Linked DNA regions of Coturnix japonica. The protein of the gene in region 1 binds, or shares a complex with, the protein of each later gene. Links are inferred from orthologs where the notes say so. Each region holds a gene or a part of one and is shown on either strand. Other genes may lie near its edges.

The links. The genes of interacting proteins can lie anywhere in the genome.
Region 2: the proteins of TGFB3 (region 1) and ITGB6 are in contact, whole or in part, in a crystal structure (PDB 4UM9), measured with the Homo sapiens proteins. The link is inferred for Coturnix japonica from reciprocal best matches to the Homo sapiens genes TGFB3 and ITGB6. Residues at the interface, in NP_001316868.1 of Homo sapiens: His259, Gly262, Asp263, Leu264, Arg266, Leu267, Lys268; in NP_000879.2 of Homo sapiens: Ser142, Ala143, Ser144, Asp147, Pro196, Cys197, Ser199, Ile200, Tyr202, Cys204, Ala234, Asn235, Ile236, Asp237, Thr238, Glu240, Asp271, Lys355.

What each region holds. Positions count from the first base shown.
Region 1 is NC_029520.1:34,888,148-34,891,796, forward strand, and holds part of TGFB3 (transforming growth factor beta-3 proprotein), read right to left. Parts: intron 950-3,649; coding exon 786-949; intron 1-785. UniProt on the Homo sapiens protein: Transforming growth factor beta-3 proprotein: Precursor of the Latency-associated peptide (LAP) and Transforming growth factor beta-3 (TGF-beta-3) chains, which constitute the regulatory and active subunit of TGF-beta-3, respectively.
Region 2 is NC_029522.1:24,910,403-24,914,151, forward strand, and holds the start of ITGB6 (integrin beta-6), read right to left. Parts: upstream 2,364-3,749; 5' UTR 2,299-2,363; intron 1,847-2,298; 5' UTR 1,831-1,846; coding exon 1,770-1,830; intron 1,018-1,769; coding exon 938-1,017; intron 1-937. UniProt on the Homo sapiens protein: Integrin alpha-V:beta-6 (ITGAV:ITGB6) is a receptor for fibronectin and cytotactin. It recognizes the sequence R-G-D in its ligands. Internalization of integrin alpha-V/beta-6 via clathrin-mediated endocytosis promotes carcinoma cell invasion.

The DNA of each region.
Region 1 (3,649 bases):
CCACACTGCACTGAGCCTGTGGAGAAGCTTTGGGATTGTCTGTTAGCAATTGTTATCGTCTGTTAGCTGGAGAACTGCTCTGCCTTTGAAAGATGAATTCCAAGCAGACCTTAAGAGCTAACAGCTAAAGGGCAATTTTAGCTGCATTGTTACTGCATAGCAGAGAGACAGCAGCAGCCTGTGGGAATACAGTGCCAGGATGCACCATTAACTGTGTGATCCAGCACGGCCAGAGACCGCTTCCAAATCTGAACCAGACCTTATCTTGCCAGCGGACACCAAGAGTTCAAACCAAACTCCAGATGAGCACCTGCGCTAAAGGTGCCAGAAACTGTCCCTGCAGAACTGATGAAAGGAACACTGAAAGCAAGCATTTCTTTTCCAGTAAGTCTGAAAGTCAGAGAGCTCCACCCATTGGATTAGCACCAACTGCACTGTACTGTGACAGTCAGAGGAACAGCTCTGCCAAGGGACTTAGGCAGAAGGGTCAGGGCTTCTCTGCTGGTGAGAGGATCCTCTTCCAACCCCTTTGAGTATAGGAAAGAGCTGCATAATTCATTGTACTCACAACAGCTGGGCAGTGTGAGTGGGGAAAAGGACAGCACCACACTGAAACAGGAGAAAAATATGTCTGTATCACTGCTTACATGCTGAAAGAAGCATGGAGCGAAGTATGGAATCTCTTTTTCCTCTCACCTGTGGCCTTGCACCCACAAGCTGGGGCAGTCACTAGGGAGCCAAGCTGTTCTGGCTGAGGCAGTGAGGAAGGCGAGAAGAATACTCACCTGGAAGAGCTCAATGCGCTGCTCACTGCGCTTGGAGCTCGGGTTGGGCACACGCAGCACCCGGAACTCTGCTCGAAACAGGTTGGTGCTGTTCTTCTCTGCTGAGGACACGTTAAAGCGGAACACATTGGAGGTGACACCTTTTGGGCAAATGCCCAACTCATCTAGGAGAAAAAAAGAGGGAAAGGCTAAGGATTTCATGCCAGAAGTGACTGAGAAACAGCTTCCAGCTAAACATGTCACCACCTTTGCGTTTGGTTGTCTGGCTAAAGAGATGGCAGGAGAAATTAACTCTAATTTGCTCTACATTGGAATGTTTTGAAAATCTTCTCACTACTGACACCATTATTTCAATGCTACAAGCCAGAGAATCGGTGGAGATCAATCACAGTATTCTTAATTCTGTCTCTTCCAACTCATCAAATGTTGATAATGCTTGTAAGTTTCCTGCATTTGTCAAAGCAACCCCAACCAACACAAGGGACAACCTCCTTTGTTCCTTGTGGGGCCCATTCCCAATAACTGTGATGGTGTAACTCTGTGCTCATTCTGGAGATGTGAAGCCACACAGAAAGTGATCTTATTACAGGAGACGATGTCAAGGTCTGTAATGAAAGCCAGAGAATTGTCCACAGAGTTTGGTAAGGCACTAAAACAGGTTGCCCAGAGATGTGGTGGATGTCCCATCCCTAGAGACAGTCAAGAACAGGCTGGATTGGCCTCTGAGCAACATGATTGAGCTGCAGGTGTCCCTGCTTATTGGACTAGATGGCCTCTAAGGGCCCCTTCCACATCCAATGACTCTATGATAGGTATGAGGTGCAGAAGACATCTCAGGAGCAGTGACTCTCCAGGGCATACTAAAGGAACTGAGTTCTAAGGTCAGTTCTCATTCATGACTTGGAGGAGGAATTCATGGTTAGTACTTGATACAGAGTTCTTTGGGGACAGAGGCTGCTGTGCAGCCTACAGAGATCAGACACATGAGCAGGAAATAGCACAGCAAGGCTCTGCCTGGATGCGTGCCTGCTTAGCAGAAAAATCCACTTCACAAGTGCCCAACAAGAGTGCGAGTAAAAATCACAATGTTTCCCCAAGAGAAAATGAGCATCTCTTCATTGGGACCATTTTGGTCCCATGGAAAAAGCAGTGATCCCTGCTGCTCCTCTCCTGTTGACCTCCCTTGGCCTTCAAGGCTGTAGCATCATTAAGGCTTAAAGGCTTCCTGCAGGCAAGGCACAGCAACTCCTGCTCTACACCCACGTGCAGATCTGTTTGCAGTCCTGCAGAGCCTCTCATATGACCTCTGGCTGTTCTCCAAGGTAACACGAGGCTCTCGTGTCAGCTGAGATCTGTGGGGTTTTGTTGTTGTTGTGTTTTTAATTAAATAATAAAACCACACACACAAAAATCACTTGTTTTTTTTTCCTAAGCCACAGTTCCAGCCTGTGATAAATAGGCTGGAAGACCTGGCAACCTTGAAATTGTGTTCTTGGAGCTGGCCCCTGTCTTCAAAACACCGGTGTCCCACAGAAATGAGTTCTGTAGATGGGCTGGTGGTGGAACAGTGTCTAAGAACACAGGCTCATTTCCCATGCCAAATTCTTCTTTGAGCAACAGTGATTCACTTCTGGAGTCATCTTGATGAAGCTCAAGGTCTTCCTCCTGTGCTACACTCAGCCTTAGCAAGCAGGAGCCTGCCAGTTTACAAATGTGTGTTCTTATGGACAGAAAGTTTTACTCAAATCAGCTAATGACCAGGTGCTCACTTTGAAACTTGTTTTGAGGCTTTTTGCCATACCTACTATTGAATGGAACAGCTTTTCCACCTGTGAACATCTCTGCCTGCTGTTAAGATGGGGATTTTTGCAGCCCCAGGAGACCAGACCCAGCGCAGCCACCAGCTGGCATATTCAGCCCAGCAGCCCTACAGCACAGAGAGCACTGAGCTGTGAGAGGACACCCACCATGGGGACTCCACCACTGTGACGGGTTTTGTGCCACAGATAAGCACAGACCAGCAAGCTCTGATCTCATTATGTACCCGAGGGCATCTTTCTAGATGAAGTCCAATGCTGCAAAGGTTCTGTTAGACCTAGGTGGATCCTGTATTTTAATATCCCCTTAAGCAGTTTTGTAATGCTTGCCCTATTAATAGGGCTGTTAACAGCCTGCCCTTCCATTTCTGAGCCAACTGCTTGTCCGTGAGGGGATGTCCCACCAATCATCACAAGCGCCTCCAGATCAGACCAGTGGCCAGCCTATCCACAGTCCATTTACAACATTGGTACTTTATCTGATAATCTATTTAGAGACTGTAAACCTGGTCCAAACCTGGTCCTACAGCACAGTGTAGATGAGAGAGAATCATTTACGGTTTGTCAGCTTCTTAAATGTTTTGGCTCAGTGAGGCAGCTAATAATGCTAATAAGAGATGGATGACCGTCTTCTGTATTCTCTTGCTATCTCTGCAATGCCTCCTACCTACTTCTGATGGTGTTCTGGGGACCTTCCTAGTTAAGTCAACAAGGGAACAAGCTCCCTGTGATGGAGGAGATGGAGCTGCTGTTTCGTTCTGACCATTACAATGTTGGAGCCTGCCTCTCACAGCCAGACGACCAGAATACAGACCTAAGTCCCAAAAGATTTCTGCTTTTTGAGCAAAATTCTTAAGAGGTCAGAGGTGTGCACAGCTAAGTGATGTTTTCAGGGGACTCGGTCTAGTCCCAGCTCAGGGCACTTTAATCACACCAGGATCTGGAATTGCCCAGATACCAGCAAAGAACAAAGCCCAGAAGCAATATTCCTGCAAGCTCCTCCAATACACAACACCCAGTGTCTGTAATGAAGCCAAGAGAAGGAAA
Region 2 (3,749 bases), on another chromosome or scaffold:
ACCTAGAAGGCATATTTTTATCCTATAGAGGATTTTTTAAATAAACACATTGTTTTTCATTTTCTGAATGTATGTGGCAGTATTTCAAATCCTGATCAAATGTCAAGAAAATCCTGTTTTGGTGGTTAAGTGCAAACAGAAACTCCTGAAAACACACTGATGTTTTGTTGTTGTTGTAAATTGGGTGGGTTTCTTTTTTCTTTTCGGAGTGTGTAGTTCTATGTGCTCCCTACCCCCCTTCCCCCTCCCCCCCCCCATGGTAACAGTACGTACAAATTGCTGAATTATATTTAGTAATCTTCTTCAAGAGAAGTATTCTTTGATCTTTGTGAGTTACTTCACACAGCAATACAGTATTCCTATCTTATGTGTTATTCTGCTATTTTAAATAGCTAGGAATAGTTTCTGATTTACAGTTCTGCTGCTATCATAAAAATATTTAATTTCTCACTATTTCTGGCAATTTTTAAATAATGACAGCTAACTTTCTTGCCAGCATTAATGAAGTAGGGCCTCAAATGTTTACTAGGAATTATGGAGATATTTATTATCTTATACAGGGGAAGATTTTAAAAGCAGAGAGATGTACATTGACTTGCCCAGAGTTACACAGAAAACCTTTAAGAGACCAGTAAGAAACAAATCCAAATATTTATGTTAAAGCCCTGTGTTTTAGCCAAAACAGTCGCACCTATATCATAATTAATTAGAAAACTAACACTATTGCCATATTTGAAATCAGCCGGAGCTGATACAATGCAGATAATAATACAGCTTAAAGTCCATGCTAGAATTCCCCTTTTGATTCCCAGGAAGGCTTCAGTAAGCTCTGTATGCATTACAAAACCACGGGCTAACCCAATTAAGTCAATACTTCGTCACTCAGAGCCACTACAAACATTTCAAGTTTTACTTTGAAATTTTTGGTATCATCTACCTCTTGGAAACACCAAGCACAGTGTGGTCCGGAAAGCAAACAATCTTCACAAGTCACTCCACTTTCCTGAGAACAGGTCCCTAAGTTTAAATCCAAGAAGACAAAAGGCTGTTAATAATGCGTTTAAGCGTTTGGTCTGTGAAGAATCTGCTTACATTGAGAACGTAGGAAGCAAATAATATAAACATTTAGCCACATGTAGTGTTACTGATAAAGTCCTTCCCTAAGGATATTTCCATTGGTAGAACATTAACGCTCTGGGTAAAAAAAGAACAACACGGTTGCTGATAATTAACATACTTTTGCATGCTTTATAGGTGCACATTCTCTGAGAACATGAGAACTTGCTACTAGTTTGCTTCACTGCACTTGCCAGAGCTTTGTGTTTGATTCTGGTGTGGGGCAAAGCATTCCCAGCATAACCAAAATACCAACAGAGACACCAAACCACCAGATTTGTGTATGCTCACTGTACTTAAAACTGCTTCACCCAAGTCTGTAGATTCTTGATATTATTTTAATTTGTTGTGAAAGTACTGGTGAAACACTGAGGCATTCATAAGGCATTAAGTTTCTCAGTGGATCAAACAGTGATTAGTACAACCATTACTACTCAGATGCCTGTCTCTTTCATACATATTTTGCTATGTAACGTCTGCATAAATCGCAGGCAAATTCACAGGGCTGCCCTTCAGCAGCATGTCAAGAAAACAGTCATCAAACAGAAAGGAGCAGTTAAATACAGAAGACAAAGAGCTATTTAGTATCAAATTAAAGCAGGAAACAAAGCAAAAATGGTTTTGAAATGCATCTCCCTGTCCCTGAGTCTTACCTTGCACATCATTATTTCTTTGAAGAAATAGGAAAAAGAGGCAAAGCAATTCAATCCCCATTCGTTTTCAGTGCTGGCTGTGTGACAAAAAGTATTAGCGTGTTAATTATCGTCCACGGAAAGGCAGAATGTCATAAAAATCATCATAAATTCCCAAAGTGTATGTTTTCAGATGTCACCTACAACGGACTGCGAGGAAACTTCAAACCTATCAGCACAGAACATGAATGAAATGAAAACAACAGCTACCTGGGCAGGTAAAGACTGCAGGCTGTACATAGAGGTAACCTGAACATGGTTATCACTTCCTTGTTTTCCTGTACTCCTTATAAGGTATACAATCAGAAGGAAAATTCATTCAGGTGAAGACTTCTGTCAATTCCAGTTACTCTGGGTCCTAAAGCAACCCATCCGAGAGTCGGGTTTTTTTTTGTGTGTGTGTATTGAGCCACTCTAAAACAATTCCTTTAATTGTTCCCTGAGAGAATATGTTAGGTAAGAGGTCATAAGGTTGGCTAAGTGAATATACCTGGAGAGATGTAAAAATCCCATTTTTTCAGATTCCCTGGTGTGGAAGGAAGCTTGTAAAGGCAAAATGGAAAAAAAAAAAAAAAAAAAAGAAAAAGAAGAACAGAAATTATTCAGTTGTTGCAGCTGAGGACCTGGCTTTGGTCATTCAAGATACAGAGCATGCTGGTTTTATTAACATTGTAAACTGGAAAGGAAACACTGCAATTGTGGCTTTTTCTCTTAATATGCAGAGGAAGGAATAACTGCATACCCAGTTCTGCAACCGACTTGAGAAAAATCACTTCAGCTTCATGCCCACGCAAGTGCCCAAACATTCTGCAGCACTGCAGATACAACATAAAGTTATTGCTATCTCTTTTCTCACCAACCCAACCAGAAATGAAGGCAAAATATGCATTTCTTACAGCATTATTAAAGGAAATAAAATGTATTGTTCCCAGATTTCATCTAGCTTTTATGTTATGCTACTCTCAGTTCTGAAAATGATTTGTTCAGTACAACTCCTTTCTCACTGGGAGGGTATGCAACCGGCTCTGCACACTGCAGTGTAAATAGCAATTTCATCTGTTGTGTTGCTGCTCTGTCCTAAAAACGTATGACCTGTTTTTCCATCATCAGAAATCCCACCAAAGCAGCAAAGTTGGCTTGTGAAACTGAGCTGCTCTCATCATGAGAACTGACAGGTTCAGACCTCCCTTTTCAAACCGGGTGGTAGCTGCAATTTTGGGGCAGGATGTGACAGTAGGGATAGGTCTATACTAGTAAACCCAACATGCCTGGAAGCATTCCTGGGCATGGAGGCCAACTGGCACAGAACGAACTGCGTTTCTGCTTGCAAATTGCCTATTGGGACCATTCTAGCAATCAAATTGTGCCCAGAAATTGTTTGCAGAGAGTGTTAATTGGAAGAGGTCAAATCCCTGCCAGGGAAGAATTTAAACAGTTTCATAGCACAGAGAATCTCATTCTAGTGCCTGGAAACATTCCCAGGCACATCCGATTTTACTAGTATTTACACAGTCCACAGGTAGTTTCATAGCAGCTCCAACTGGATTACGTCAAGCCTACCTTTGCCCTGCCCTCATGTTCACACCCCTTGGCTCTTATTGGTGCCCCAAAAAAACAGTGAGCTGATTCAACCTCATCCAGTAAAAATCCACAAACCTTCTGTAGGTGGGCTGATCTTCAGCTGGCAGAGTTCCTTGCCCTCTGTCACTGCCCACCCTGGTGCAAGCACCAGTTTGAGGGGAGAAAGAGTCAGGAAGAGATGACAGAGGGATGGGAATATGGCAGTTTGGATATAGCCCACCTTCGGCTGTTGTGGTACCACACCTTAACATTTCTATTTACAACATTCCAAAGTCTCCTTCAATTTCATTCTATATCTTGGAGTGTCTTACTCATCTAAAACAATTTCTTGTGGCATGAAAAAAACATCAATTCAATTAT